Linked DNA regions of Daphnia pulex. The protein of the gene in region 1 interacts with the protein of each later gene in a biochemical or structural test. Links are inferred from orthologs where the notes say so. Each region holds a gene or a part of one and is shown in the gene's direction. Other genes may lie near its edges.

Evidence for each region.
Region 2: of the proteins of general transcription factor IIE subunit 1-like (region 1) and cyclin-dependent kinase 7-like, one has a biochemical effect on the other in vitro, tested with the Homo sapiens proteins (3 studies listed by BioGRID, with this or other methods). The link is inferred for Daphnia pulex from reciprocal best matches to the Homo sapiens genes GTF2E1 and CDK7.
Region 3: the proteins of general transcription factor IIE subunit 1-like (region 1) and general transcription and DNA repair factor IIH helicase subunit XPB-like form a complex in vitro, tested with the Homo sapiens proteins (2 studies listed by BioGRID). The link is inferred for Daphnia pulex from reciprocal best matches to the Homo sapiens genes GTF2E1 and ERCC3.
Region 4: the proteins of general transcription factor IIE subunit 1-like (region 1) and general transcription factor IIF subunit 1-like form a complex in vitro, tested with the Homo sapiens proteins (3 studies listed by BioGRID). The link is inferred for Daphnia pulex from reciprocal best matches to the Homo sapiens genes GTF2E1 and GTF2F1.
Region 5: the proteins of general transcription factor IIE subunit 1-like (region 1) and general transcription factor IIF subunit 2-like form a complex in vitro, tested with the Homo sapiens proteins (2 studies listed by BioGRID). The link is inferred for Daphnia pulex from reciprocal best matches to the Homo sapiens genes GTF2E1 and GTF2F2.

Annotation. Positions count from the first base shown.
Region 1 is NC_060024.1:11,575,298-11,581,662, reverse strand, and holds general transcription factor IIE subunit 1-like, read left to right. Parts: upstream 1-2,072; 5' UTR 2,073-2,200; coding exon 2,201-2,321; intron 2,322-2,380; coding exon 2,381-2,544; intron 2,545-2,602; coding exon 2,603-2,964; intron 2,965-3,024; coding exon 3,025-3,268; intron 3,269-3,339; coding exon 3,340-3,535; intron 3,536-3,595; coding exon 3,596-3,777; 3' UTR 3,778-4,045; downstream 4,046-6,365. Other genes in the region: cytochrome c oxidase assembly factor 5-like, read left to right, coding at 916-1,026, 1,119-1,220, 1,285-1,347.
Region 2 is NC_060020.1:945,123-950,896, forward strand, and holds cyclin-dependent kinase 7-like, read left to right. Parts: upstream 1-2,705; 5' UTR 2,706-2,779; coding exon 2,780-2,851; intron 2,852-2,911; coding exon 2,912-2,974; intron 2,975-3,045; coding exon 3,046-3,327; intron 3,328-3,408; coding exon 3,409-3,536; intron 3,537-3,600; coding exon 3,601-3,778; intron 3,779-3,849; coding exon 3,850-4,022; intron 4,023-4,076; coding exon 4,077-4,218; 3' UTR 4,219-4,254; downstream 4,255-5,774. Other genes in the region: cAMP-regulated phosphoprotein 19-A-like, read left to right, coding at 1-42, 206-403; DET1 homolog, read right to left, coding at 767-1,273, 1,331-2,479; NADH-quinone oxidoreductase subunit B 2-like, read right to left, coding at 4,324-4,527, 4,587-4,796, 4,874-4,977, 5,050-5,200; glycosylated lysosomal membrane protein A-like, read left to right, coding at 5,635-5,751. UniProt on the Homo sapiens protein: Serine/threonine kinase involved in cell cycle control and in RNA polymerase II-mediated RNA transcription. Cyclin-dependent kinases (CDKs) are activated by the binding to a cyclin and mediate the progression through the cell cycle.
Region 3 is NC_060020.1:5,844,935-5,848,867, forward strand, and holds general transcription and DNA repair factor IIH helicase subunit XPB-like, read left to right. Parts: upstream 1-1,133; 5' UTR 1,134-1,292; coding exon 1,293-2,484; intron 2,485-2,554; coding exon 2,555-2,818; intron 2,819-2,883; coding exon 2,884-3,812; 3' UTR 3,813-3,887; downstream 3,888-3,933. Other genes in the region: RNA-binding motif protein, X-linked 2-like, read right to left, coding at 1-115, 177-335, 640-653. UniProt on the Homo sapiens protein: ATP-dependent 3'-5' DNA helicase/translocase. Binds dsDNA rather than ssDNA, unzipping it in a translocase rather than classical helicase activity. Component of the general transcription and DNA repair factor IIH (TFIIH) core complex.
Region 4 is NC_060018.1:349,358-355,884, reverse strand, and holds general transcription factor IIF subunit 1-like, read left to right. Parts: upstream 1-2,689; 5' UTR 2,690-2,998; coding exon 2,999-3,016; intron 3,017-3,075; coding exon 3,076-3,111; intron 3,112-3,169; coding exon 3,170-3,243; intron 3,244-3,310; coding exon 3,311-3,588; intron 3,589-3,668; coding exon 3,669-3,968; intron 3,969-4,033; coding exon 4,034-4,280; intron 4,281-4,344; coding exon 4,345-4,604; intron 4,605-4,663; coding exon 4,664-4,739; intron 4,740-4,790; coding exon 4,791-4,991; intron 4,992-5,053; coding exon 5,054-5,261; 3' UTR 5,262-5,421; downstream 5,422-6,527. Other genes in the region: regulator of microtubule dynamics protein 1-like, read right to left, coding at 1,219-1,260, 1,332-1,446, 1,511-1,648, 1,710-2,017, 2,077-2,225, 2,287-2,516, 2,580-2,662; uncharacterized protein LOC124188758, read right to left, coding at 5,552-5,689, 5,750-5,840, 5,893-5,994, 6,055-6,184, 6,272-6,386. UniProt on the Homo sapiens protein: TFIIF is a general transcription initiation factor that binds to RNA polymerase II and helps to recruit it to the initiation complex in collaboration with TFIIB. It promotes transcription elongation.
Region 5 is NC_060025.1:405,152-410,839, forward strand, and holds general transcription factor IIF subunit 2-like, read left to right. Parts: upstream 1-2,267; 5' UTR 2,268-2,421; coding exon 2,422-2,615; intron 2,616-2,684; coding exon 2,685-2,836; intron 2,837-2,962; coding exon 2,963-3,049; intron 3,050-3,113; coding exon 3,114-3,238; intron 3,239-3,298; coding exon 3,299-3,442; intron 3,443-3,501; coding exon 3,502-3,618; 3' UTR 3,619-3,833; downstream 3,834-5,688. Other genes in the region: 40S ribosomal protein S3-A-like, read left to right, coding at 4,987-5,019, 5,224-5,307, 5,368-5,603, 5,668-5,688. UniProt on the Homo sapiens protein: TFIIF is a general transcription initiation factor that binds to RNA polymerase II and helps to recruit it to the initiation complex in collaboration with TFIIB.

The DNA of each region.
Region 1 (6,365 bases):
AGATAATCAGTTTGAATTCAACATGGGCAGAGGAAGAGAAAAGAGCGTCTCGCCATCGTCTCGAAGAAGACAACGCTCGAGGTCAAGAGAAAAAGTTCGCGATAGATCTCGTTCACGAGATCGCAGTCGACGTGATCGAGATAGAGAACGTGGTAAGGTGGACAAGGAACGTGAAAGAGACAAAGAAAGGTCTAGGGATAGAGACAGAGACCGTGAAAAGCCAAGCAAATCAAGCCGTGAGCATGAAAGAGACAGAGACCGAAGGAGAAGATCTGCAAGCAAGGAAAGAAGAACCAAAAAATCAAAGACAAGAAGCAGATCAAGATCCAGAGAGAAGCCTGCCAAATTAGTCACCAGAAAACCAGTAACGTCAGAAGAATTCATTGATCCAACTGAAGAAGAAGCTGAAATGATGAAGTTGATGGGCTTTGGTACTTTTGATACAACTAAAGGAAAACATGTCCAAGGAAATGAAGAGCCAATGCACGGAACAGTTCAAGTTGTCCTCAAGCGAAAATACCGACAGTATATGAATAGGAAAGGAGGTTTTAATCGACCATTGGATCCGATCGCTTAATTTGAAAATGAAATACACTTCTTTGTAATAATGCTTTTGTGTATTTTGATTTTGGAACCTTTGATTTTTAAACAGGAAAGAATTTAATTTAAACTTTTATGGTAAACATAAAAAATTTTAGTCTATAAATCTATGATCGCCTGATCGGAATATCGGATGCTGTTTATTAACTACATAGCGTTGTTGTCTTGTTGACACTCAAAGCAGACGAACTTTTCACGGATTTCAGTATTCAGTTAGACTTTGGTCGTAATTCCAAAAAGATCTCTATAGTGACTGGTTAAAATATATCTGTTACTGATTTAAGATATATCTTATTTTCGGCAATCTTAAGTAAAATGCCTCAGAGTTTCTACGAACCCGAACAGTTAGTGGTAGATACGAGGCCATGCAGCGCCTTGCGCGAAGACTTGAAGTTCTGTATTCAGAACACAGATTGCTTCAAAAAGGTATATGTCTACGTGTTGTTATGAAAAATAATGAGTCACACGAAGTGGATCTTTTTAAAATTCCGGAACTAAAAATAATATGAATTTTCCAGGAAAAGAAAACACCCCGCCAATGCCTCTTAGAAAATCATCCATCCGTTCCTGCTGAGTGTCATCAACTTAGGCAGTCATTCTTTGAATGCAAACGTTCTATTGTAAATAATAATTATAATGTTGTTCACATAAATAGGAAATCTAAAAATAATCTTTCTTTATCAGCTTGATAATAGGCAAAGGTTTCGAGGAAGGAAAGAATATTCTGCTTCAACACCAAAGTCTTGAAGAGTTTCAATTTTCAAGTGTGGAGAATTTCTAGCATTGGTAAACAAATGCAGAATTGCAACCCCATGATAATTGATGAACAATGATTAAAAAGGCTCATACAAAACACTTTTGTGGCATTCTATAGTTTATGAATAATGTAGCCTACAGTGGTGAATCATAAAGAATAAAGATTGAATATGTTGAAACAGTGAAGCATATATACATATATACTATATTCGATTTTCGGGTGGTTCACGTCGAACAGCAGAATTTATTTAACAAACCTATTTAACAACCCACAGGCCACTTTTCCAAGAGTTTAAACTAAACAATGAGTAATCTCTTCTTCTCTATCTCTTGTAATTAGTTAAAAAAAAAACACTAGAAATAAATTTAAACCTAATTAATTTTAAAAATTGATGTTGAATAATTGAAGCCAGATCGGAGCAAGAATGCCTGCCTTGCCTACACACTTCACAGGTGTTTCGAGTCTGTTTTTAAATATTCATAATGAATTCACTTACTAACGATTTGATGATCAGTCATGCAATTTATTATTACATGTATCTCAAGATTTGCCATTCAATGTAATGTATAAATGTAAGGCCTATTCCAATCGATATTGCGTAACACGGTAACAGGCACGCAAAATCCCGCGAGGCAAAAAAAAAGCAAAATGCAAAATAATAAAAAATGTTGTAGATGCAGCATACGTGGCAATGTGGCAATTTCAAGAAAAGCCGCCTAAATAGCAGACGATATATTTGAGATTGTTTGATGTTGCTTTCTTTCTTCAGAGTCTAATGTTTATACACACTCACTCAATTGAAAAACTTTAATTTATAAGACTTCTTCTCTCTGAATAACTGCGATGGATGACGGATACGTCCACGAAGTACCGAGCAGCTTAAAACAGTTGGCTCGACTGGTTGCCAGGGCATTCTATACGATTGAGGACGCTTTGATCATTGACATGCTTGTCAGAAATCCATGTATGTATTGTATTTTTTGTCACTGAAACTTTTCAATTGAACCTTCAATTTTATATCAGGTATGAAGGAGGATGACATTGCAGACTTATTAAAATTTGAGCGTAAAATGTTGAGAGGTAGGATTTCAACCCTACGGAATGACAAATTTCTTCAAACACGCTTGAAGATGGAAACAGTGGATGGGAAATCTCAGAAAGTAAACTACTTTTACATTAATTACAAGGTAATCTGTGGTGAAACTGTGTTATAATTGAAGTTAATGTAATAATTTATATTTATAGATTTTTGTCAATATTGTCAAATACAAGTTGGATCATATGAGAAAGAAGATGGAAACTTCTGAAAGAGATGCCACAAGCAGAGCAAGTTTTCACTGTCCGTGCTGCAAAAAGAATTTCACTGATTTGGAAGCTGACAGACTATTTAATCCTGCTGACCCAAGTGGGGAATTCAAATGCAATTTCTGTGGTGCAGTGGTTGTTGAAGACGAATCAGCCATACCCAAGACAGATTCACGGCAGCTCATGGCTCGGTTCAACGACCAAATGGAGCCTTTGTACAAATTGCTAAGAGAAGTTGAGGACGTGAAACTGGCCCCAGCCTTGCTTGAACCAGAACCGACTGACATTTCTCATCTGCAAAGGTGAATTTTCCCAATCCTATGCCTTATCTACAAATCTTAATCTCTCACTATTTGCATTAGGGATGCCGATGGAAAACCCAAATCCAGGGGAGCCATGGGCGAAAATTGGTCGGGAGAGGCAACCAGAGGAGGTGTTTTCCGACTGGATGAACAACGCGTCGACGTCACTATCGGTGATAATGCTGTTGTCAAGAAAGGAGAGGTTCGCAAGGAGGCACCCATATGGATGAGAGAAAGTACCGTCGATAATGAAGCTGCTACCAGCGCCAATGACAATATTGCTGGACCTGCGATCATTGACGAGGTAAAACTGGATTCTATTATACAGTCTATTTTTAAAGTGACATCTTATCAATGAATATTAATTTTGTCCAGATGGAGCTACCTACTCTCTCTACGGAGAAGAATCGCAACCAAGAAGACATTATGTCCGTTCTTATGGAACTCGAAAAACCAACTACAAAGGCCGCTGTTCCAGCCGATTCAAGTGATGACGAAGCGGCCGCAAGATCTCTTCTTGAACAGATTACTCCGGCTACCAATACTATCCAACGCCAAGTGCAATACGACAGTAAGAATCGAATTTCGTTATTGGAATAGTTCAAATGTAAATGTTTGTTTTTCTTCTTAGGTGATGTCGAGCTGATGGACAGTGACTCGGAAGAAGAAGTTCCTATGGTGAGAGTTGGAAACTTGGAATTCCCTGTTCACGAAGTTCCATCGGAACAGGTTGCCCGCATGACGCCCTCCGAAAAGGATGCCTACGTCCAGCTCCACCAAGAATACATGGAAAGGATGGGCTACCTGGATTAACCATCGCTACCTCTCGACAAATTTGTACTCTGGCTGTTTCGAGTGTTCCTGGTGTAACTTGTCTGCTTCTCGCCAGATGGTCCCTGGTTGTCTCAATCTCTATTTTCTCAAGGTACTGTGTGCGAAAGGCAAAGAAAAAATATTCTTCCTTTTCCGTTTTCTCCTCTCTTTCGTTTCTTCTTCCGTTTTGCATTTGTGAGACTTGAGACTTCTAAAAACAAAAAATTTACAAACGCTACAGATTCGATTACACTTTGATTAAATTTTACGCCCTTTTATTCAAAAATTGAATTTAGAACGTAAGATTTTTATCAAATCTTTTTTTTTTAAATAATAAATCTACGCTTTTGATTTCAAAATCATTTTAAAAGTGGGGATGATGCACGTATGTTAATTGAATGTGCCGACGCAATCGAAATTGTCCTTTCCGGTGTTCTTTTATGGATGTTCCTCGTGCATGACGCGTGCGCGGTTCGTTTGAATTATTCCATCCCGAATAATTCAAATAGAATCAAAGGGAAAACGAGGGAAAGCGCTTATTACATCAATATACCACGCAAGACGTGGTCACTGGTTGTTTATATATTTAACTATCCACCGGCTTCGTTTGATGCAGCCGCAATTGCATGGAGATTGCGTCATATTCATTCAGAGTCAGTAGTAAACTTTGCAATTAATATGTACCACCGGCGTACAACATTGTATGTAGATCTCCCCTGCACGTATCTTGAACAACAATCTCGAAACATTTGCTTTTACCGCCCCTTATAATCTTTTATCTTGTGAGAATTTCCTGTACACAATTCCCAATTCGTTTCTGAGCCCGAGTCACGGATGAAGGAAGAAAAGCACAAGCGGTTTTTCTTGTCGGCCGACAAACTTTTATTTGACCCACATGTGCTTGTTGCGAGATAAGTCTTAACGAGCAAATAATTTCCTTTTTCTGATAAGTGAAAAAAACGTCAGGCCGGATGTAACCGACCGTCCGTAGAATATGTTTATCATATTATACGTAAAGGTGGGCGATTTGTTTTGATTGACTCTATAAGTGTACTATACGTACACATGTGGAAAAAGTGTAGAAAGAGAGGAGAAAAGGTGTGTCCCGACAACATGTTTTCCGACGCGTTCCATGTATGACATTCGACTCTTTAGAGTGTTGGTAGGGGGGGGGGGGAGGGAGGACGCATTAGAGTCCCATCTAAAGATGCCATTAGGTCTACTATATGTAAGGGCCCGTAGGCTATACTCTATACGAGATGGAGAGAGAGTTGTAAGAAGACACAGATTGAAAAAAGAAAAGACATTTTGAAAACGTAGAAATGAAGAAACGAGGCTGCATGGGCGGCACTTTTTGAGAGGCGCGGTGGCCATTGTCTGCGCACGTCGGCATCCTTTGTCGGCGCGGGGGGCGGTCAAAGGTCACATCATAGCCAACAATAAAAAGCCAATGGCCGAACGGGAGCTGTGTGCTTGTGTGCGCAGCAGCAGCATCACCCGCAGCCCAGCAACGCGCAGTCCAGCAGGACAACTCCCCCAACACCACCACCACCAAACAACCTGAAAATCGTTGCTGCCTAAACAACTCTTTCTCGATTTTTCCTACAAGACACCTGAATTAGTTTTGGCAATAGAAAATCAGATGCCTGGGAAAATTTAAAAAAATAAAGTTTTTCTTTTTCATCTGGAAAAAAAAGGAATGAAAAACCCAGTTGATAGTTTGGGGGCATCGAATTAAGAGCTGATCCGATGACTGCCGTATAATATTGGCAAATCTTTGGGGACTGGCCATCTTTTCATGATGGAGAAAAAAGGGGTGGAAGACGACGATCAATCCTCAACGCCGCGCTCCCACGCCTACACTAACTGTCAAAATATTCCGCCTTCCCACTCAATATTTTAAAGCGAACCCCGAAATCCGCATACAATTTCAAACCTCCCCTAAATTTGGATCATCACGTAATCACTTTGTACTTTTAAAAAAGGTTCATGAACACGTTGTAATCCCGATTACGACTTGTTATCCATTGATATCTTAATAATCCAACCCTCATTTGGCACGGGAACCGGCTTCTCATAACTAGACAGAACATAACCCGTTGACAATTTTTAAAATGAAACATTTGTAAATGCTTGAAAACTATTTGGAAATAACTGTACAAAAAAACCCAAATCTGTCTTTTTTTTTTGAAATTTATTGCCGCCATCTCGACGACGTTCGTCCAAAATGTTTTGTTTTAACACGAAGTGAAATTGCCAAAGTGGTCGGCATCGGTTGGAGACGTGTCGAGGCGTGTAGTGAGAGGTGCCGCCTTTTAACCGAAGACGATGGCGTGGGAAAGGGTCATGTAAAGCAGCAGCGAATCAATTGAGTCATCGAATCGGATGGCCGTCTGCGCCAGGCGCGATAGAGTCGTGTAGAAATCGTGGGAAAACGCTACCCCGGCACCACAGCAGCCAGCGCGTTTCATCTTTCCCCGCGATACTTCTACTTTTGGGATATGCAAAGAGCTATGGAGTGTTTTTTTGGTTTCTGTTTGTATACCAACACACGGAGAAATTTGGAAACCAAAAAATCCCGAAGAAGA
Region 2 (5,774 bases), on another chromosome or scaffold:
ACTGGACACTCAGCATTCTTGCAAAAGAGACTTGCCAAAGGCGTAAGCAAACTTTTTTTTTATCTAAAACAACTAATTTTGTTATTGCTTTTGGCTGTGTTTTGTGTTACTTTCCATTGTGCAATAATATGAGAAAGTTTGAATGCAATCTGCCAACTGAAATGTTTTACCAACTAATTCTATTTCACTTATAATTTTATTGTAGCAAAAGTACTTTGACTCTGGAGATTACCAAATGGCAAAACAAAAAGGACCAGCTAAAATACCAACTGCAGCAACAACAGCAGTAATCCCACCTGCCAATCTTGGACACCCAACTGGGGATGCCATTCCAACTCCGGAATCTGTTCCTACCAGGAAAACATCCATCATTCAGAGCAAGTTGGCAAGTCCTGCTATGTAAAAAGAGCAACATCACCTGAAAGTCTTAACCGTTCGCGGGCATGAATTTGGTATCGGGCAGTTTGTATACAATTTGGTGTAATATCTTCATGATCGTGTTACGTTTCGGTGTCTGCATCAGTTTTTTTTTTTTTTTTTCCCTTAAATCTTTTTTAAAACATTTTTTTCTCAATCTTTGGCCGCGCTCTTTACTATTTTACCGCCTCTCTTCATTTTTTTTCCGCTTGAAATGATGAGAAATAACCAGGAGTTCCGTAAATCAGAAGACGCTAGTTAGACTCCTTTCCCCCGTTAAAAAAATGAAATACATACAGTGGCACCACTTCAATACAGCACAAATGATTTGTATTTTTAAATCATGAATTTAAATGTGACGAACGTGAAAATTGACTACATATTCGGAATTGGTTCTCTGAACACTTATGGCAAATGGATCTGTTGGATGAAACGTGAAAGCAACAAGGCGACGGGCAGAAGAAGGCGGAGCTGGCCGGCCAAGAATACCAGCATAAATGCGAAACCGCAGCAGTCCAGATTCACGGACGTAGAAACGAATGGGGTGCTCTCCACTAGTCTTTGGACGCTCCATGAGCGAAACCCATTTATCGTCATAGGAAAACAGCTGCAAATCAAGGTAAGGCGAAGAGGAATAGGATTGTGCTGAAATGGGAAGTTGTGAAAGAAGTCGTTTTGTGGCTTCCGTCTGCCCACCAAAGCGAGCGCTGACAATGGTCTGCTTGAATCGTTGATGAATGACGTTTGCAAATACGTTGCTGGACGGTGATCCTTGTGTTGCGTTGCGTAGTAAATCGCAAAAGTTCTCGAACAAGTTCAGTAGTTCCTGACTTGTGTTTTCATAGACGTTAATAACCTGTAAAACAATAATACGTGGGATTAAGTTTTTTTCTTTTAATTATAATCAAGATACCTGTGCGTTTTCCATATTGTAAACGACAAAGAAGGCCGGTTGCGTATTTGGGTCTGGAGCTCGTAGTGTAACCACATCTTCACTAGCATATTTCAGAAGCAAATGTGACTCATCCAACAACTGCATTTTCCAGATTCGGAGTGCGCGAATGTGATCAAAGTTCTGATAGAACTTTCGTACGTGAAAGAGATTCCCTTCGGCTTCAGCCATGTTGATTGCTCGTCGGTAGAGAAACACTAGTAAACGATGCTTGAGCGCGTTGACAGTTGCCTCTCGAAACGGACGAACCAACTGACCCGAAGGCCAAAGTCCCCGTACTTGATTGATTAACCATTCGTCATCGTCGAAACAAAATCGACCTATAGTTTTTACATCAGCAAAATAGCCATCGTGTGAAATTTTAAAAATGTGTATCGTTTGATGCTGGACAGAGAGAACTGCTAGAGTGTCTTCATACAAGTAAAGTCCTTGGTTGTGTGAGAGAAAGATTTTGTCGGTCTTCATTGTTCTAGTATCACAGAGCCTTCCATTGACGATGTCAACGATGTGAAGTGAGCAATCTTCTAGTGGAGAACGAGGATGAGGAGATACGGATTCATTATTACGGAAAATATCAAAAAAATTTGGCTGGGGCTCTTCGGGAACGTACGAGGCTGAACCGACAATAACAAATCTTCCGTCACCGACAAAGAGACTGCATTCGCGATTTAGTTGTTCACCAACAGGAGTTACAGCAATAGTATGCTTTAACTGGAAGAATTTAGAAAATACTTTACTTCTTAAATTTACAGCTTCATTGGTATCATTTCCAACAAACTCTCTCGTTCCTGGAACATCTGTAAGTAAATCTTCTACTGCACTTGGTCCAAGATATTTGTAAACTTCCACTGAAGTTTGATCTGAAGAGAATGCAATAAAGTACTTGCCGTTGGGTGTAAATTTTCTCAAATAGCATGGTGGCTTTTCTATGTTGACAATTGTAAAATTTGGGACAACACTTTGATAAAATGATCGGCAAATGTGATAGTTTCCGGGTTTGACATGAGTCTCTCGACGAATCAGTCGAATTACAACATTCTGCGAGGGAATTTTTCTAGGAGTCAACTCGAACTCACCATGGTCAGCCTGTCTATATTTGGGGTTCATCATTTTCAGAACCTTTTTTATTACTCGGCATTTTTACTACGTATCTGCAATTCCCATTTTATTCGCCGTGAATTTTAGAAGTTTCAGATTTTTAGTGATAAAGCACATGTGAAATAGAACTGAAGCAGGTTTGAGATGTCAAAATCCGAAACATTTTGTAGAACAGATCGATCTAGCGGTGGTAATAGAAAGATAAACAATAGTTTTTCACGCCACCTGTTGACGAGTGAAATTCCATTTTAAAATAATCGTTCTTGACGGGTGATTAAAAGTTGAAAGAAACTTTGAGTGTATGAATGAAAAATGCACGTGAGTGGAGAAAGAGAACCTAGACTTCAGCGATATGAAAAGATTGAATTTTTGGGAGAAGGACAGGTAAGGTTTTGATTGGCACTGTCTTTTGTGTATGTTCAACTGTTTTATTTTGTAATTTAGTTTGCGACAGTCTACAAGGCGAAAGATACTCTAAACGATAACAAAATAGTTGCCGTTAAAAAGGTTTAAAAAATGTGTTTTCATTTCAGCGTTTCCGGTTCGTTTATAAAATACTAACACTATTTCTGTTCAAGATTAAACTGGGTTCACGAGAAGAGGCTAGAGATGGAATCAATCGAACAGCTTTGAGAGAAATCAAGTTACTCCAAGAACTCAAGCATGACCATATAATTGGTTTACTTGATGTCTTTGGTCACCGTTCTAATGTATCTCTGGTGTTTGACTTTATGGATACTGATTTGGAGCAAATAATCAAGGACACAACCATCATTCTCACTCCAGCACACATTAAAGCTTACATTCTTATGACACTTCAAGGACTTGAATATCTCCATCTTCTATTTATTCTTCACAGAGTAATAATAATAATATATATTTTTCCCCTGTACATTATGACAGAAGTATGCACATTCTTTTTTTTTCAACTACCATTTTAGGATCTGAAACCTAACAATCTTCTTGTTGATCGTCAAGGAATACTGAAACTTGGTGATTTTGGTTTGGCAAAATCGTTTGCATCACCCACTCGTATCTACACTCACCAGGTTGTGACGAGGTGGTATAGGTAATTTGAAGAAATGCAACATAAATATTCAGCTGAAATTAAAATTGATCACACCTGAAACTAGGTGTCCAGAACTGTTGTTTGGTGCTCGAATGTACGGTACCGGTGTTGATGTATGGGCAGTAGGTTGCATAATGGCTGAACTTTTGCTTCGACTCCCCTTTTTACCTGGAGAATCTGACTTAGATCAACTTACACGTATTTTTACAACTTTGGGCACTCCAAACGAAGAGAATTGGCCAGTAAGTACATAAAACAATTTTGAACTCAACCGTCTCCCACCTTTAAACTCTAGTCATATTTCCTTGATTAGGGACTGCTTTCGCTACCAGATTTTGTTCAGTTTAAGGCTTTCCCCGTGATTCCAATGCGGCATATTTTCACCGCCGCCGGAGATGATTTGCTGCAGCTTTTGAGTCGTTTTTTGGCATTGCATCCTTTAGACAGGTGTACTTGTAGCGAAGCTTTGCAAATGCCGTATTTCAGGTATGTATTTTGATTAATTTTTAGATATAAAATTCTAAGTTTCTTCCTTAACAGCAATAAACCAGCTCCAGCTCCAGGATCATCTCTACCTCTACCTGCATCTCTAAGTCAAGCAGCAGTCGACAAAAGCGGAACAAAACGTAAAGTGACGGACAACGGGGAGGGAGGTTCATTAGCGAAACGTTTAGTTTTCTAATAAGTGGTTGAACCAATACATGTGTTTCTAATATAACCTCTAGGTTTATTTCCACCACTCTTGTTGATACAACTTTACAATTTCAGAAGCTTATGACACATTTGCTTATTTTCTGTACCACATCTGAATAGTCTTCATCCGTTTTACTTTTTTCTGTAACTGAAGGATGCCGTACATCAGCGCTTCGGCAGTAGGAGGGCAGCCAGGGACGTAGATGTCAACTGGGATAATCCTGTCGCAACCACGCACAACAGAATACGAATAATGGTAGTAGCCACCACCATTAGCGCAGCTTCCCATAGAAATTACCTGGAGATAAATAAATAAATTCATGATGCCTAATATCTGTGAGAAAGTGTTCCGGTTACCCAACGAGGTTCGGGCATCTGATCGTAAACTTTACGTAAAGCAGGAGCCATTTTGTTGGTAAGTGTACCAGCTACAATTATGACATCAGCCTGACGCGGAGAAGCACGAAATACCACACCATACCGATCCATGTCATATCGCGGAGCTGCAATGTGCATCATTTCTACAGCACAGCAGGCAAGCCCAAAGGTCAGAGGCCATAAAGATCCCTGAGAGCGAAAGTTGAATATTAAAATTTTTCCAGCTAATCCTTAATGATTAACTTCACATAATCTTTAATTTTTACCTTTCTTCCCCAATTGAGAAGATCATCAAGCCGGGCAACTGCATACTCTGCCATATTGTTGGTGTTTTGAAATGGAGAGTATGGTCTCTTTTTATCCAGGGCAGCTAAGAATATTCAAAGATAAGATGTTGGTAGTAAGAAGTGATCTCAAATGCCTAAAATGGAAGGAAAATTACCATTTCCTTCAGTTCCAGATTGGGGAACGGTGCTCTGATTCCGTTTCAGTACGATAGAAGTCATGGACAAACTCGACGGTACTGAGACACTGCTGTTAATCCCTAAGGACTTCACTAGGGCGCCATTCAATGTTCCACGTAGGGCAAGCATATTCTTAAACTGTAAATTAATCGATCAACAAAGTAAAAAACTTGATTTCCAAGAGTCGCCAGTAAATATTTTACGGCTACGCTCTACAGTTCTGGGCACTAGCAGACAAATTTCTATGAGTAAAGAATCAGAGAAAAAGAAGGACAACGTTGTCAAATTTAATTAAAAATTAATTTAATTTAATTTCAATTAATTTATAATATTATTTATTTGAAATTTATGTTTATGTAAATTTATTATTTATCATGATTTGCATGTTTACAGTGACCCCGAGGAGTTTCGTATTGCGTAACGAAGTTCCCTATCCCTAGGAATTTATATCAAATGACTCAGTGGGCGTCTGCTGGCTTTGAGATTTGTGATAATTCGAGTCCTTCAAATTGGTTCTGAACTTTAACAGATGAACAAGGGATTGAATTGATGGCTTGAGAAAAATGACTAATTTAGTACTGGTGTTTGCTGCTTTAAATCTATTACCTCTTTTTGTGTTGGTTTTATCTGCAGACTACTATACGTTCTTGGATGGTGAACAAAAAAATTACGATCGTAATGTAAATATCTTGTTTACCTACAC
Region 3 (3,933 bases), on another chromosome or scaffold:
ATTGTCAACTGCAAGAATTGTTGATCTTTGATCTTCGTAACATAAAAAACAAAAGCCTTTAGACTTGCCTGTAACCTTGTCTCGTACTAAATTGATGTTTGCAACCTCTCCATACCTTAAAAAAAAATTTTAACTATTAATAGCAATAATAAACATCACTTAAGTATTAACCATACTGAGAAAAAATGCAGATGATGTCCCCCTCAGACAATTCATAAGGCAATCCTCCAATGAAAATCCAAGCACTGTCTTTGTATTGATAATGCCATGAAGCTTTTCCTGATATGTTGTACTTCAGTTCAGTCTCGCTGAGTTTCTTGATATTCTTCACATTCCTAAGAAAAAGGAAATAGCCATATTAATAATGAACTTATAATATATTCTAGTCTAATAAGGTAGCATATAATATGCTTCGTTCTACGCAGCACCAGCAGATAACATGATTCCAAACTATATTTATGTTGTCCAGTCCCTACATTACAACACCCCCACACAAAACCTTCGATAAGTTTTATTATATTTACCCTCACTATGTGTTAACATACTTTTTAAGTTAGCCATAAATCGAAAATTTCTCACAAATAATATTGATACAAGATTATGAGTTTATGAATGATGCAAAAGCTATGTAGTACTTACGTTAGTGGATTCATCTTCGTCCAACAGGAAAGTTCTCGTAGAGTTTAGTTTAACTTGAAGATGGGCATTATTGCAAGGTGAGGAGTACTTAAGTCAGGATCGAAATCCGAAAGAATAATAACTGGATGTATTTGATTGAATTATTTGAATTGCTTTTCTTATTTCCGATGGCAGTTAGCGAAATGCCACTTGCCAAACCAAAGCCAAAATATCAAGCAGACGATCACGTTCAAGGAAAGAAGGCATGTAAGACGTACCGAGTGCGCCTCTGGTGTTTAATATATGCATAAACATCTGCTATTATGATCTCCGTTGATTGCTTGAATATAGGAAAATAATTCATTTAATTTAGAAGTTAGAAATAAGTTTTCAAAGTATAAATTTACTCGAAACGATCAAGAAGTACAAAATATAATTCTCGTTCTTGATTTTCCGCTAGGTGTGCTATGTGTGCCCGAACCATGCTTCTGCTTCAGGCGATTTATTTTTGTGTTGTTGCTCTCTCTCAGCTGAGTTTTCACTGTCAGTGTTCAGTCTTCACTTCAGTGTTCGTCCAAAGTTCATCATTCAATCACTTTACCGAGAAAGTTAAATTTGTTTAGAATTTTCCAGCAGTATTCATAGAATAATTCACGGTTATTCCTCTGTTTAATATGGCTGGGGGGAGCCGTAAATACGGGAAAAAAGATGGAGATCGTTATGACGCGTCCAAGAAAAAATTTGCTGGTAAAAAACGAAAGGATTTTGAAGATGAGAGTGCTTATGATGAAGGCATACCGGATGGAAATGAAGCTGAGGGTGTGCCAGAAGCGGCAAAGCACTTCATTGAAGTTGAAGGTGAAAGGCAAGGGGAAGATGAATATGGAGCCAAAGATTATCGAGACTTGCAGCTTAAACCAGACCACATGTCTAGACCATTGTGGGTTGCTCCCAATGGCCACATCTTCCTGGAGTCATTCTCACCAGTCTACAAACACGCTCACGACTTTCTGATTGCAATAAGTGAACCAGTTTGTCGTCCAGAACACATACATGAGTACAAGTTGACTTCTTACTCATTGTATGCTGCCGTCAGTGTCGGGCTGCAAACTCATGACATCATAGAGTATTTAAAGCGCTTAAGCAAAACTGCTGTCCCTGATGGAATTGTAGACTTCATAAAGATCTCAACACTCTCTTACGGCAAAGTCAAATTAGTGTTGAAGCACAATCGCTATTTTGTTGAGTCTCAATATCCAGATGTCATCCAAAAATTGTTGAAAGATCCTGTAATTCAAGAATGCAGACTTCGTCACAGCGTGGAATCTTCAACAGATGGACTGATCACTCAAGTTCAATCAAAAGCAACGTCTATTCAATTTGGAAAACCTGGTACTTCAGGAGAGGAACCAGGAGAAGAAGGAAAGCAAGTGCCTGATGACATATCGAATTTTTACGACAAAATGGACAAGGATGAGGACGACGAAGATGATTCTTCTCTTCAAACGGTTGCATTTGAAGTAAATCAAGAAAAAATTGAAGTCATTCAAAAGCGATGTATTCAGCTAGAATACCCTTTGTTAGCGGAATATGATTTTCGTAACGACACTCATAATCAGGACATAAACATTGATTTGAGACCTGCAGCTGTATTGCGGCCTTACCAGGAAAAAAGCCTGCGAAAAATGTTTGGCAATGGTCGTGCTCGCTCTGGGCTCATTGTTTTGCCTTGTGGAGCTGGTAAAAGTTTGGTTGGTGTGACAGCCTGTTGTACAGTTCGAAAAAGAGCTTTAGTTCTGTGCAATTCTGGAGTTTCAGTCGAGCAGTGGAAAGCCCAGTTTAAGATGTGGTCTACTGCTGACGATAGTAAGAAGTTGTTAATATGTTTTTATCTTTACTTGATAAATAAATGTTTTTTTTTTTTTTTTCATTTCAGGTATGATCTGTCGTTTTACATCTGATGCAAAGGATAAGCCTCATGGATGCAGCATCATGATCACAACCTTTAACATGATAACACATCAGCAAAAACGTTCGTATGAGGCAGATCAAACGATGAAGTGGCTCCAGGAGCAGGAATGGGGTATTATGGTGTTGGACGAGGTGCACACTATTCCAGCTCGCATGTTTCGTCGTGTTTTGACCATTGTTCAAGCCCATTGCAAGCTTGGTTTGACAGCTACTCTCGTCCGCGAAGATGGTATTTGATTATTTTTACCTGTAATGTATTTATTTGTCTGATCAACGATTTTCTTTATCTTACAGACAAGATTGCAGACTTGAATTTTTTGATCGGACCAAAGCTGTACGAGGCTAATTGGTTGGAGCTGCAAAAACGTGGATTCATTGCTCGAGTACAATGCGCTGAAGTATGGTGTCCTATGAGCCCAGAATTCTATCGCGAGTATCTGGCCTGTAAATCCGCAAAGAAAATGCTTCTCTTCGTAATGAATCCTAACAAGTTTAGAGCCTGTCAGTTTCTTATTCGCTACCACGAGCGACGTAATGACAAAATCATCGTTTTTTCGGATAATGTGTATGCTCTTAAGCACTATGCGCTTACCATGAATAAGCCATTCATTTACGGTCCAACATCTCAGAACGAAAGGCTTCAAATTCTACAAAATTTCAAACTGAATCCGAAGGTGAACACAATTTTCGTCAGTAAGGTGGCTGATACTTCCTTCGATTTGCCTGATGCCAACGTGCTTATTCAAATATCCTCGCACGGTGGCTCTCGTCGTCAAGAAGCTCAACGTTTGGGGCGTATTCTTCGAGCCAAGAAAGGTGCCATTGCGGAGGAGTACAATGCGTTCTTCTACACGCTGGTATCGCAAGATACATTGGAAATGAGCTTCTCTCGTAAACGTCAGCGATTCTTGGTTAATCAAGGATACAGCTATAAAGTCATCACTCGCATGGCGGGCATGGATCAAGACCAGGAATTGAACTACAAGAGCAAGGAAGAGCAAGCCAACCTGCTACAAATGGTTCTGACAGCATCGGATATTGATGCAGATGAAGAGCGTGTACCCGGAGAAATTGGAGGTCGGCCTGGTCCATTTGGACGACGCGTTGGAACCATGGCATCAATGAGCGGTGCCGATGACGCAGTTTATATGGAATATAAACGCCCATCAGCTTCAAATAATTTATCCAAACACCCCCTTTTCAAGAAATACCGCACCAAGTAAAGATTTTCCAAGTCATAAAATGTGATTACTATATCTCAAAATTCATGTTGAATAAATACAGAAACTGGTTTAATACTTTTTATTTCTCACTTTTTTTTGGTGTCTGGTGACAGGTGTGTGA
Region 4 (6,527 bases), on another chromosome or scaffold:
CTATCGATTCACATTTGCGTATCATCGTGGACCATTTCATGTTTAAAAAATCCCCCCGTTGGCCTGAAGTGAAATAGCTTTGAAAATAAGACATTCTACCCAGACATATCATTCTTTCTCTTTGGGTGCATTTCATTTTCGGCCATATAAGTGTCGATCCGTCTTCTTCCAGCGCGGCGTTTTCCAATTGGCCAGTCTCGGTTGGATAACCGTAGGGGTTACGTCACGCGGACCCGTAAAACTATCGATGCGTAACAACACAGTCTGAGTGCCGGGACGTTTCAACGTGTAGGCAAATAACTGTTGGCTCTCACGAAACCTCTCCTTAAATTTCCCTATTAGGAATTGTGTGCGCATATTCCAACAGGTGAACTCCCCGTCCTGGGCCCCTCAAGGCTCGTGCGCAACGCGGGACTTTCCCTCTGAAATAGTAGCTTCCACTTACACCTACACACAATGCCAAAGTGTGTCATATACTATTGCCTTCGTTTTATCTCTACCCGCACGAATTGTATACGCAGTTGGTTATCTGTTGATTTACAGACGCCAGACGAACGAACCAGTTCGGTTGCCATACAACCAGGCGGAGTTGTACACAATTTTAGATTCCAAGCAGACACACACACGAATGATAGTGAACGAAAATAATCGAGGACTTACTTTTCACGTGATCGCCAAACAGACTGCCAGAAAATTTCCACAACCACCTGTTTTGCCTAATTAAAGAAAACAGGATTTTCTTTTAGTTGAATCCAACAGGGAAGAGATGAAACAAAGTAAAAACTTGTAGAAACAAACTCCTGACCTAGCAGACACAGTCAAATAAACAAGTCCACAAGCTCAGAACTACACGAAGCAACTCACAATGCCGACGGACCGTCACGTACAGATAACACATACGTCGTATCCTTTCCCTTCATATGGCTGGCGGGGATTCTAGCTCGGCACATTTCGGGCTGTGGTGACACGCAACGCTACCTATCGGACCTATCGAGAACAAGTGAATGAACTTTGTATTCGTAAACACGCACGGGGAAATTTGGGAAACTGTTGCACTATTGCATGTTGTACCGATAACACACACACAAGGAAATCATTTAATAATAAAAAAACAAACATTTTTGATTAAATTTCAAGGTAAACAGAAGAGGCGCATACATTTTTCTTTATGTGGAAGGATATGGGTAAATATCCTCGAGCGTCCTTGGAGCCAGCGGCCTATCTGATGGAATTTAATAGCTTGACTGCCTCGTGTTTGGCCTATGATATCAATGTAAAACCATTTTTATCAAACAATAAAATGTAGAAAAGGTTAATGCGTTATATGTCACCTCCAAATCTTCTGACGAGGCGATAGCATAATCTCGAGCTCTGGTCAAATAAGCGATAGCTTTTTCTTTATTGTTGAGCCGCAAATATGTTTTCCCCAGCATCAATAAATTCGTACTGAAACGAAACCATTCAAAATGCACAATTATTTAGAAAAATGAAAAATTAAACCAAGCCGTACCTGTAAAAATTCGGCTCAACTTCTTCCGCTCTTAGGAAATACTGCAGTGCCTCTTCGTAAGAAGATACGGGCGGTGTAGCAAACAAGGTTGAGGCAATTTGCCTCTGAAGCCACGGCAATTCAGCAACAGAAAAGCACCTAAAGTTGCACGAAAATGTGTTACGTTACATACAAAAGAAAAGTTGTTATCTTGTCATACCAGTAGCCTAGCAAATGAAATGAAGTTGCATCCTTTGGGTTGAGTTCACACGCTCTTTCTATGTGTTTCTTGACGACAAACGATTGAGAAATGCGCTCCTTTAAGCCCTCGTAGGACGCCTTTTTATCTAACAAAATAAACATCCACTTGTGAGCAGCAAAGTTTTCCGGATCAATGAGCAGCGCCCCTTCAACATAACCGTATGCTTCAAAATCTAATTCTTTTTGTTCAATTGGACTGGACGATAATTTCGCTACTTCATACGTCGCTCGTGCCAGTCGCCAAAGAATTTCGGCATTATCTTCGGCCTAAAAAAAGTTTTTCCAACATTAAAACAGAGACTGACAAATCAGTTTATTCTTATTACCTTGTAGGGCAACAGAAGACTTCTCAATTTGGTGTAGGAATGCTCATTGTACAAGACATCAGCTTCAGAAATAAGATTGGTCTTATTTTCTCTTTCTTCATCAACTTTTACACTAGCAGAGACTGCAGGTAACAAACCCAGCATCCATCCTGCAGATTAACAAGTTATTGATTGTTTTTGTTACATGAATTCAAAAATTAGGCAACTTACCAATGTTTCTTGAAACTAGAGCTGGTTTCTTAGGAACAACATTCAGGAATCTTTTCCTGTACACAACAAATGCATGGTAAACTATTCCATATATTTTTCTCCCAGAGAACGATAACACCATGACGAACGCTTTCCACAACAGAAAGAAAATAAATGACGAAAAACGAATTAGGCAGTTGAGAATAGATAGGTAATCTAATTCCATGGCGACCAAAATTGGAACTAACGAACTTCAATAGTTGAAAAATGAATAATCATTTACTTTACTTGTAATATTACTTAACAATTTAGACCTCTTTATAAAAAAACTTTTTGATTGGCCATTTTTGGATATTTTAATAAGGTAAGTGAGAAATAGCCTTTCACAATTTATCATGTGGTTCAAGGCGGGAAGTCGACAGTGCAGTCTCGACGTGAAAAGAAAAGAACTGAAGCAGACGAAAACTGAACTGGGTCGTCGTCGACTATTTTTCTTCAGTATCGGGTCGGGTATAAAATTCGTTGGCGCTGTTTAAAGTGTCCCAATATTTTTTGGCATAGAAATTTCGATCACCACCCCTTAATTTTGGCCTATAATTTAGTAACGTGCATAGTTGGGTTAGTTATTTACCATTCGTGACGAACTTGTGACGAACACATCGGTGGTGTGTCTCGATCATTGTGTCGCCGGTGAGAAGTTGTTTTGTCAATCGTTTTTCACCGTCACATCATAATGTCTGCTGTTAACAAGGTACAATTTTTTTGTCTTCTCAATCAGTTAATTCAATATTAATACATGTGTTTCTCAAGACTCCTACTGGTGGATCAACTCCTGCTGCTACCAGGGTAAAGACATTTTGGTTTTTAATTAATTAGTTCAACATAATAATATGTGTTACATTAGACTCCAGCTGCTGGTGGATCAGCTCCTGCCGCTGCTGCTTCTAATGTTCAGACTATTGACATTCGAGTCCCCAAGTAAGAATATCAGACATTACCATCTAGATTTTTGCCTTCTTAAACCGAGTTTATAATGTTGTCACAGGAACATAAACAAAAAGCTTGCCATCATGAGATTCAATGGCTCAATGGGTATTGACTTTGTACAATGGAAAGATCCAAAAATGGAAAGGGAAAACAACCAAGTCACATTCAAAGGGTTCAATGAAGATATGCCAAAGTTTGGTGCTGGGAGTGAATATGGCAGAGAGGCTCGTGAGGAAGCTAGACGGAAGAAGTATGGCATAATAAGCAAAAAGTATAATCCTGAAAACCAGCCTTGGATTTTACAACATGGGGGAAAAAGTGGGAAAAAGTTCAGAGGTATACTAAAGTTGGAAACCAAGCTAAGATAGCAATAAGAAAGTTTAGTAATGTGCAATTATATTTATTTTATTAAACAGGAGTAAGAGATGGTGGCATTAATGAAAATGCATCGTACTACGTTTTTACGCAAGCACCAGATGGTGTGTTTGATGCCTTTCCTGTGCAAGAACAATACAGTTTTCAAGCAGTTCAAAATTACAAACCACTGAGTATTGAAGAAGCAGAGGAAGGGTACAACATGAGGAACAAAACATACAACATGTTCAATGTCATGATGAGAAAGAGACTAAGGAAAGACGATGAAGACGCCGAAGAAGAGGGCGAGGAAGAAGGTGAAGGCAAAGGAAAGAAAGGCAAGAAAAAGAAGGGAGCTAAAGGTAGGCAACAAGCAAAAGTTCCACCATAAATAATGTCACAAAATTATAACAACTTTTGCATTCAGATTCTCGTTTTGGTGATGAATTGGACGATATGATGGCATCTTCCGATGACGATTCTAGCGACGGCAATGATGATAACGACGACGATGATGGAGAAAGTAAGAAAAAGAAGAAGAAAGGCAAGAAACCTGTTAAGCCGAAGAAGAAGCGAAAGAATGCGTCCGATGATGAAGCTATCGAAGATAGCGATGATGGTGATGGTGAAGGCAGAGAGTTGGATTACATTTCCTCTTCCGACGATGACGAAAGGTATGTCATTAATCTTGATGCATTTGTCGATTTTCTAACACACCCGCGTTGTTCTTTAATCTAGTGATTTCGAGAAAGAAGAAGCAAAGGACGGACTAAAGGGTGTTGCCGAAGAGGATGCTCTCCGCAAGTTGCTTAACTCGGACGAAGAAGATGAAGACGAAGAAAAGGAGGAAGAAGAAGACAAAGACAAAGAAGAGGAAGATGCTGAAGGTGCCGAAGACCAGCAAGGTGATAAGGCTTCCAAAGACGAAAAAGGCGACAAAAAGAAGAAGAAAGAAAAAAAGAAGAACAAGGATAAAAAGCCCCGCAACGAGGATTATGGTAATATCCATTTAAAAACATCGTGTGTTTGAGTCAAATAATAACGAAACATTTATCAGGATCGTCAAGCGACAGCGGTGCCGAGAGCTCAGCATCCGAACTGGAGAAAGCTAAACCGAGCCCAAAAATGAAACCGTAAGTGCAGTAATTTGGTTTCCTGACAGTTAACTGACAAACTATTTCTAGGGGGAGTGCCAACAGTTCTAGATCAGCTACTCCGACGAAACCTGAAACATCGCCGCCTAAAACAACGCTATCAGATAGCAAGCGAAAGGGAACACCTGCAGTGTCCGATGCTCTTACTGGCCAAGCAACAAAGAAACCTCGATTGGACATGGCATCCGCTGCTTCAGCTGCCTCTGCCGCTTCAGCTGCATCATCATCTAGGTATTTATAAATAATGAACTAAAATTAATCCTGAAACGTTATGTATATTTTTTCTTTTACAGTGCCAATGAAGGAGTCAATGAAGAGTCTGTTAGACGTTATTTATCCCGCAAGCCAATGACAACGACCGAATTGCTTCAGAAGTTCAAAAGCAAGAAAACTGGTTTGTCGTCGGACCAGCTTGTCCATCACATTGCACAAATTTTGAAGAAGATCAACCCCGTGAAGCAGACAATTAAAGGGAAGATGTATTTGTCGATTAAGGCTTAGCGACAATAACGATGATTGGTGTGTTCTGTTTGTGCTGCAATCACTATTGCTACTTTACTGAAATTATCTCAGGCCTTCCCTTTACGGTTTATAAAAACGGACTAGAACGGTTGTTAAAATGCGTGATTTTCGGAACGATTAAACAAATTTGCAGTTGTAAGTTTTGGTATTATTTCAACAAGTTATCTGTTATTGGAAACACTTCACATTTTTAGATGAAAAACAGCCATTGAACTGACAAGTTAACATTTCTTGGTGGTGAGCAAGGTGCTGGATATTCGTTCAGAATACTATAGAGAGAAAACTTGAAGTCGCTTTGACATGTCTGCTTCGTCGTCTGTGCAAGCCCTTTTCGCGTTTTCAATCAAGAATTCAATATCTTTCTGATAATCGGCGGAATATTCGGCGACACTTTCGACGGAGAATTTCTGGACTCGGAAAATAAACATTAAAAGTGTATCAAAAACTACAAACATAAAGTAACCTACATTAGCAGCTTCTTTCATATAATTTGCAGCAGCTTTCCAGGATGGAGCAAATCCAAATGATACAGTCTTATTCATGACCATTGTCTCAATACTAAGAATTGGATACTTTAGTTTCAGCACAAATTTTATCATAACATGCAAACCTTCTTTGAATATCATATGTGACAGAAATCAAGAGTTCATCAACTTGTGGACATAGATATATAAAGTGAGGTCCATCATTGGTATTGACAAATTTAGTTAGCCTAATTAACACAAAGTTGAAATTCTGCAGTTAAAGAAGTATGCATGAATCAAACACTCACCAATTAATTTTCTCCTCATCGTAGGCTTCATCTTCTGTCCAGTGCTGAAAGTAACATTTAAAGTCGATAAGCAGGAATGTGGCTTGGGATGCTGGGAAATAGCAAGAGAATGGCACCAAGCTTTCTGAGTCTGACCAAATGGATTCAATATTAGTTAACATACCTTAGTATCGGTAAGTGATTATATTATTATTCATTCTTTAGCTCACTATCTTACAATGTATTTGAAAAGATCGTTCGAGTCTTTCTATAAGTACGTCGTTATTCAATTCATTGTGAAAAATGGCAATGGGTTTATTTTTCCACATATGATTTTCCTTGATAAGAAGCATTTCTGACAAAAATGACGAGAACTAAAAAAGAAAGATTCAAAATTTCAAATCTTGAATGTCAAGACTCAAGAGCTCGGTCTGTATAGCTGTCTCACTCGCGCTCTGTTATTAATCTAAAAATTCCAGCAGATGTCTCTAGTG
Region 5 (5,688 bases), on another chromosome or scaffold:
TCGGGAGTGTTTGATAGAATGAAAGAAAGAAAAGAAAAAAATCCAGCTGTCTTGGACGTTTCATGTCATCATGTTGTAGGTAGAGAAAGTTGATGATTTATTACGCGACTTATTCGTTCGTCAACCGGTTTTTTTCGTTTCTTCCCGCTGGGCTACAAGTCTCCCGACACGCTATAAAAATCGCAAAGGTGTATGTCTATTTACGCCCGTAATGATACTACTCGCAGCAACCAATGTATATGCGCCCAGCATACTTAAACAGCCCGAAAGAAAACGACGATGGTTGCCGACGACGACGACTTTCAGGGTAGGAACTTTTTTTAAAATAAGACCGATGGGGGTGGAGCAGGGAATATTCTTTGTGAGCTAACCGATGATTCCAATTTGGCCGACAGGTGACGGTTTTTTATTTTCTTATTTTTCTGTGTTATCTAGTGGGGGCAAGGTAGCATTTTATGATCGCCAATGAGCGATGTGGCGTTTATATATAGGTCAGATAATGCGCGACACATTTGTCATTTCTGTTTTAGTAGTCTGTACTTTTGCGATCAATTAGAAATTTCTCTATTCATAATTGTTGCAGATTGTTATTGTTATTGTAAAGATTAAAATAGACAGGATAACGTATTAAATCCAGTCACATGGGCGGTCACGGATCATCCTTCATATTTTTTCTCTTTAACTTTCATGGGTTCACTAATTAAAAAAAGTTGTTTTTTATTTTATTTTTATTTTTTGGCTTAGAGGGAGACGGTAGGAAGCTGGAGAATAGTAATTAAACTAATTAGAACTCACACATTGCAAGACGCAAGAGGCAAGAAAAATTAGCCGTGAAGACGAATGGCGAAATTAAATATTCATGATTTTATGTGTTCCTGGAAGAGTTGGTCTTGAAGCGATGGCATACTTGAGATTGTTGGCTGCACAACTTTACTTTCATAAAAGCTCATAAAATGTTTTCTTACTCTTTGATTTTATTATGAAATAAATAACAATGAAAGAATCATAGGTTGAATATGAAATATCTTTTAATAAATCGCAATAACCGAATTAATAGCCTAATATTTAATTCACACATTTTCTTAATCACCTTGAATGTACTAATTGGAATACAAATTGCAGTTTAAAGTGCGATAACCGCAACTTGGGTTATGACTTTTATTCTCTGTTCGTTTGCATTCGACAAGAATATTTAGACTCACTATAGCTTATACTCACCAGTGTAAAATGATCAAATTTAAAATAGCCTATTCGTTCTTTCTTCGGTAGATAATTTCTTTCAATTATCTTGGACTAGTGTATACAACTTTCAAACTAAAATATATGTTTCTATTCTCTCGCACTGTCCATTTCAAAGCGCAATCAAGTATGTTGTATATTCGATCACGGAGTGGAGTGCTGGCCTGGTCGTCAGCTTCTTGATTCCGCCACCAGCGGCCACCATGAGAAAGGGAAACCCGTTTAGAATTTCAAATTGCTGTGCTCTTTTTATTTTTACCGTTTCGCCATCTCTTGTTTAGACAAATCTATGTTATACATGTATAGCAATTCGTACTAGTGATAGAACTCAATTATAGTAAAAGGAGTTAGTGGACGGACATTGTCCCCCCACAAGACATCGCCTTAAGTACCAATCTAGTTGTTATAACTTTCTCGATTTCGTAGAATTGTTTGATTTTGAATCCAGTTACAAGTGGTAATACATATTCCGATCGAATCAGACCAACTAGTACAAAAAGAGGTTTCCCAGTTTCTGCTTTGTTTCAGAGGGCGATTATATACTTGGCCAGGCATTCCGGTGATTTCGTACTTATTAAAATTCCAAACATTCCGAATCACTTCTCACGGGGCGTTATGAAAAATACCACATTATTCCGCGTCTGAAAGTTACACAGATAGACGTCCTGATTTGCAAATTCCTATAAATCTAGAAAGGCAAGAAAATAATAATAATAATAATATTAGGGAATTCATACTGAAACAAATTTGAGATTTGAGCATTGAGATATGCAATCAGGGTTACATTTGAGGAGGAGTAAAAAGCTAAATGAAAAAATGTTGGCCAATCAAACTATTTCCTGTTAAAAGCTTATTAAAGGGATTGTGCAACAACAAATTTGATCAGTTATTTTTTTTAAGGCCATTAAATTTCCATGCCATTTCGATTTTTGGGGGGTTTTATTAAAGAAAAATGCGTTGACGAACTGATGGTTGCGTAAACTTATCTAATAAAACAAAAGAACGCGCTCTGGCGCGATTTATAGCAGACGATAGACTTGAAGACCTTTTCAGTTGTGTGACGTTGTCGATTGAAAGAAGAAACGATTACTTGTTTTATTAAAGCCGGCCAATATTTAGAACTACATTCTCTTGAATAGGTTTTTCTAGTACGTTGAAGCAGAATTTTTAAAACTGAAAACCATGGAGTCAAAGAAAAAGGAGAAAGAAAAAGAGAAAGACAAGGAGAAAGACAAAGATGTCATCGTTTATGAAAGGGAAATGGAAATGTCTTCAGCTAGTCGGGGTGTTTGGTTGGTGAAAGTACCAAAATACATTTCAAGTCGATGGGATAAATGCCCTGGAAATATTACAGCTGGACAACTGAATATTACTAGGTATGCATCAATTGGTTTATGTTAACAAATCGACAAATCCTTTATTAACTCATTACAACTCTTGTTCAGGGTGCAAGGACAAAAGTCTCAAGTCAAACTTATTCTGTCGGAAGCTATTATGTGTCTCCAGGAAAAAGGAGAGGAACCTATTCCTAAAGAGCATGGATTGATTGTTTCACACATTACTTCACAAACATTGGGTGTATTTTCTCAACAAACCAGTACGTACTACTTGACAGTTATGGGGAAGATTTTTATTTTAGGCCTGAGCTTAAAGCATGATATTTAAAGTGGCGTGCTTGCAATTAATCTAATTTAATATTGACATTTTTGTATTGTTTCCCCAGCTCCAGCCACCGCGAACTCACCTATGGAAACTGAGAAGATCATATTTGAAGGCAAAGTTGCCCAGAAGCTTGAATGTAGACCAACAGGTGAGACCAACAAAATAAAGTTCCTAAGCTTGAAGTGAGCATTAATGATTTTTATTTTCATCAGCAAATGCAAGTTACATGAAACTCAAAAGGGATTCTTTGATTAAAGCTGCCCAACCTACAAGAATTGTGAAGCAATTGGATCGAGTGGTTCAAAGTTACAAACCCATCTCTGACCACAAGCATAATGTAAATATAGCAATTCTCGTCTATTTTTGGTACATCATAACCTTTTATTCCTGATTACAGAAAGAATTCGACGAAAAGAAGAAAGCTGAGGGTAAGAAAGCCAGAGATGATAAGGGCAAAGTTATGGACATGCTGTTTGCAGCTTTTGAAAAGCATCAGTACTACAACATCAAGGACTTGGTAAAACTCACCAACCAACCTGTGGTAAGAAAAAGTTGTTTTCATACAAGCATTTGCACTTTTAAAACCCTCTGCTTTTATAGACCTACCTCAAGGAAATTTTGAAGGATGTTTGTGTATACAATTTGAAGAATCCTCACAAAAACATGTGGGAACTGAAACCGGAATACCGCCACTACAAAGATGAAGACAAGGACTAATAAGTAAACAGTCCATTAACTTTCTAATAAAGCTGTGATTTTCAGAAAACTACTAAACAGCTCTTGGATGCACATAACTTCAGATAACTCAAATGGGTTTCAACTGCCCTTGAAATTGTTCGATAAAATGTTCTCTTAGGCTACAATTTTCCCTTCGTCTAAAAATTCCCGTGCTAACAAGTGTGTGGTCCAATACATCGATGCGAACTTGAAAATTTTACCAATATAATTTATCCCAACCATATCAGGAAGAAATGATTTCATGAGCGAGTTCAGTGCGAAAAGTAGGCTTATGTGCTAACGAGGAACCCCTTTTAAACAGAATCGTAAGATTGTAAAAACAAGAATCAAGTAAAAGGTTACATGTTAATATTTACAGCTTTTCATGGTACCCTACTTACAGTTAACATTATATTATCTCAGTCAAAAGCCATAATCTATTAGAATAGCAACAGCCTGTCTCTTGATGAGATTCATCATCCAACCATGATTCAACCAACAATTTAACGCTGAATATAGTTATCTACAAATTAATTTGTTTTAATTTTCACTAGTTACAATTTGCCAGAATGTAATTTTAAAAATTGTTTATTTGTCAATATAGATACTATAAAATACACCAAACAGAATTATTTCACCAGGAAATCTGCAACTTCAGGTAGCGATGTGAGGGTTCCTGTACAACAACAGAATAAGAATTAGCATTTCAACATCATAGAAAACCATTTAAAGCACACTTCAACAAATTATCCACAGTGTGCCTCAGTGCCTTCAACATCAATTACTTTATGTTACTACTATCAAATGTTTTAATTCGGTTCAATCCATGTGTTCCAAATAAGGAGACAACGGTAGATCAGAATAAATTTTAATTTAGCATGTCCGCTTGGCCACTATAAGCTAAGTAGAGCTAGTGTGGTTCAAAGGAATGCAAAATTCAGTCTTAGTTGCATGAATTAAATAAGATATTTACCGAAACGAATACAAAACTGGCTAGCAGCAATCAAACCAGATGGGGGAGCTTCACATGCTTCAAATGGCGTTTTACAGTCCTACTTATAACATTTGATTTCGTCCAACGCTGTTGAATTTCGGACTTCCTGTCGGAGTTGACAGATGGAAAATCTACAATAAAACTTTTGAAATCTTTTAAACAAATATGAACCAATTAAACTTGTTTATAATTTATTATTTCTATAATGATAGTTGAAAAAATTTTAAAAAGCAAACTGAAATAAATTATGTGGGAAGATGAATTCCGAAAGAGGGGGTTGAGAAGGAGGCAATGCTGGGCTTGTCAACTTCGTCTACAGAAAAAGTACTGTGTATTCCTTCTTCCTCTCGTAGACCGGTCTTAAAATACGTGAAATGGCTACGGCTCAGATCTCGAAAAAACGAAAGGCAAGTAATTCTTTCAACACGTGAATCTTTTTCATCTTGTTCTCACATATTCACCGTTTGAATATTGAGGTGTTATTGATGAAATAGAACAGTTTCTAACCAGGATGTGAAAGATTTTGGAGGATAAAATTCGTCTTGGCTTGACATGTTTCTATTGTCAGTGTGCTTGAGTTTACCTAATTTTCTTATAATTTTGTATTACAGTTTGTGGCGGGAGGTGTCTTCAAGGCTGAATTGAACGCCTTCTTGACCCGTGAATTGGCCGAAGATGGTTATTCTGGAGTTGAGGTAATTCTTGTGAAATTATTTTGTTACTGTGTAGATATCTAAAACCCATTTTCCTATTAGGTGCGCCTTGCCCCCACTCGCACAGAAATCATCATTCTGGCTACACGTACCCAGAATGTTTTGGGTGAGAAAGGCCGTCGCATTCGCGAGTTGACATCTGTTGTCCAAAAGAGATTTGGCTTCCAAGAGGGAACTGTTGAGCTCTATGCTGAGAAGGTTGCTACTCGTGGCTTGTGTGCTATTGCCCAAGCTGAGTCCCTGCGCTACAAACTCATTGGTGGTTTGGCTGTTCGCAGGTAAGCTAATTCAATAGGCTGACGTTTAAATAGTGCATTTCTGATGTAATGTGTTGTTACACAGAGCTTGTTATGGTGTTCTCCG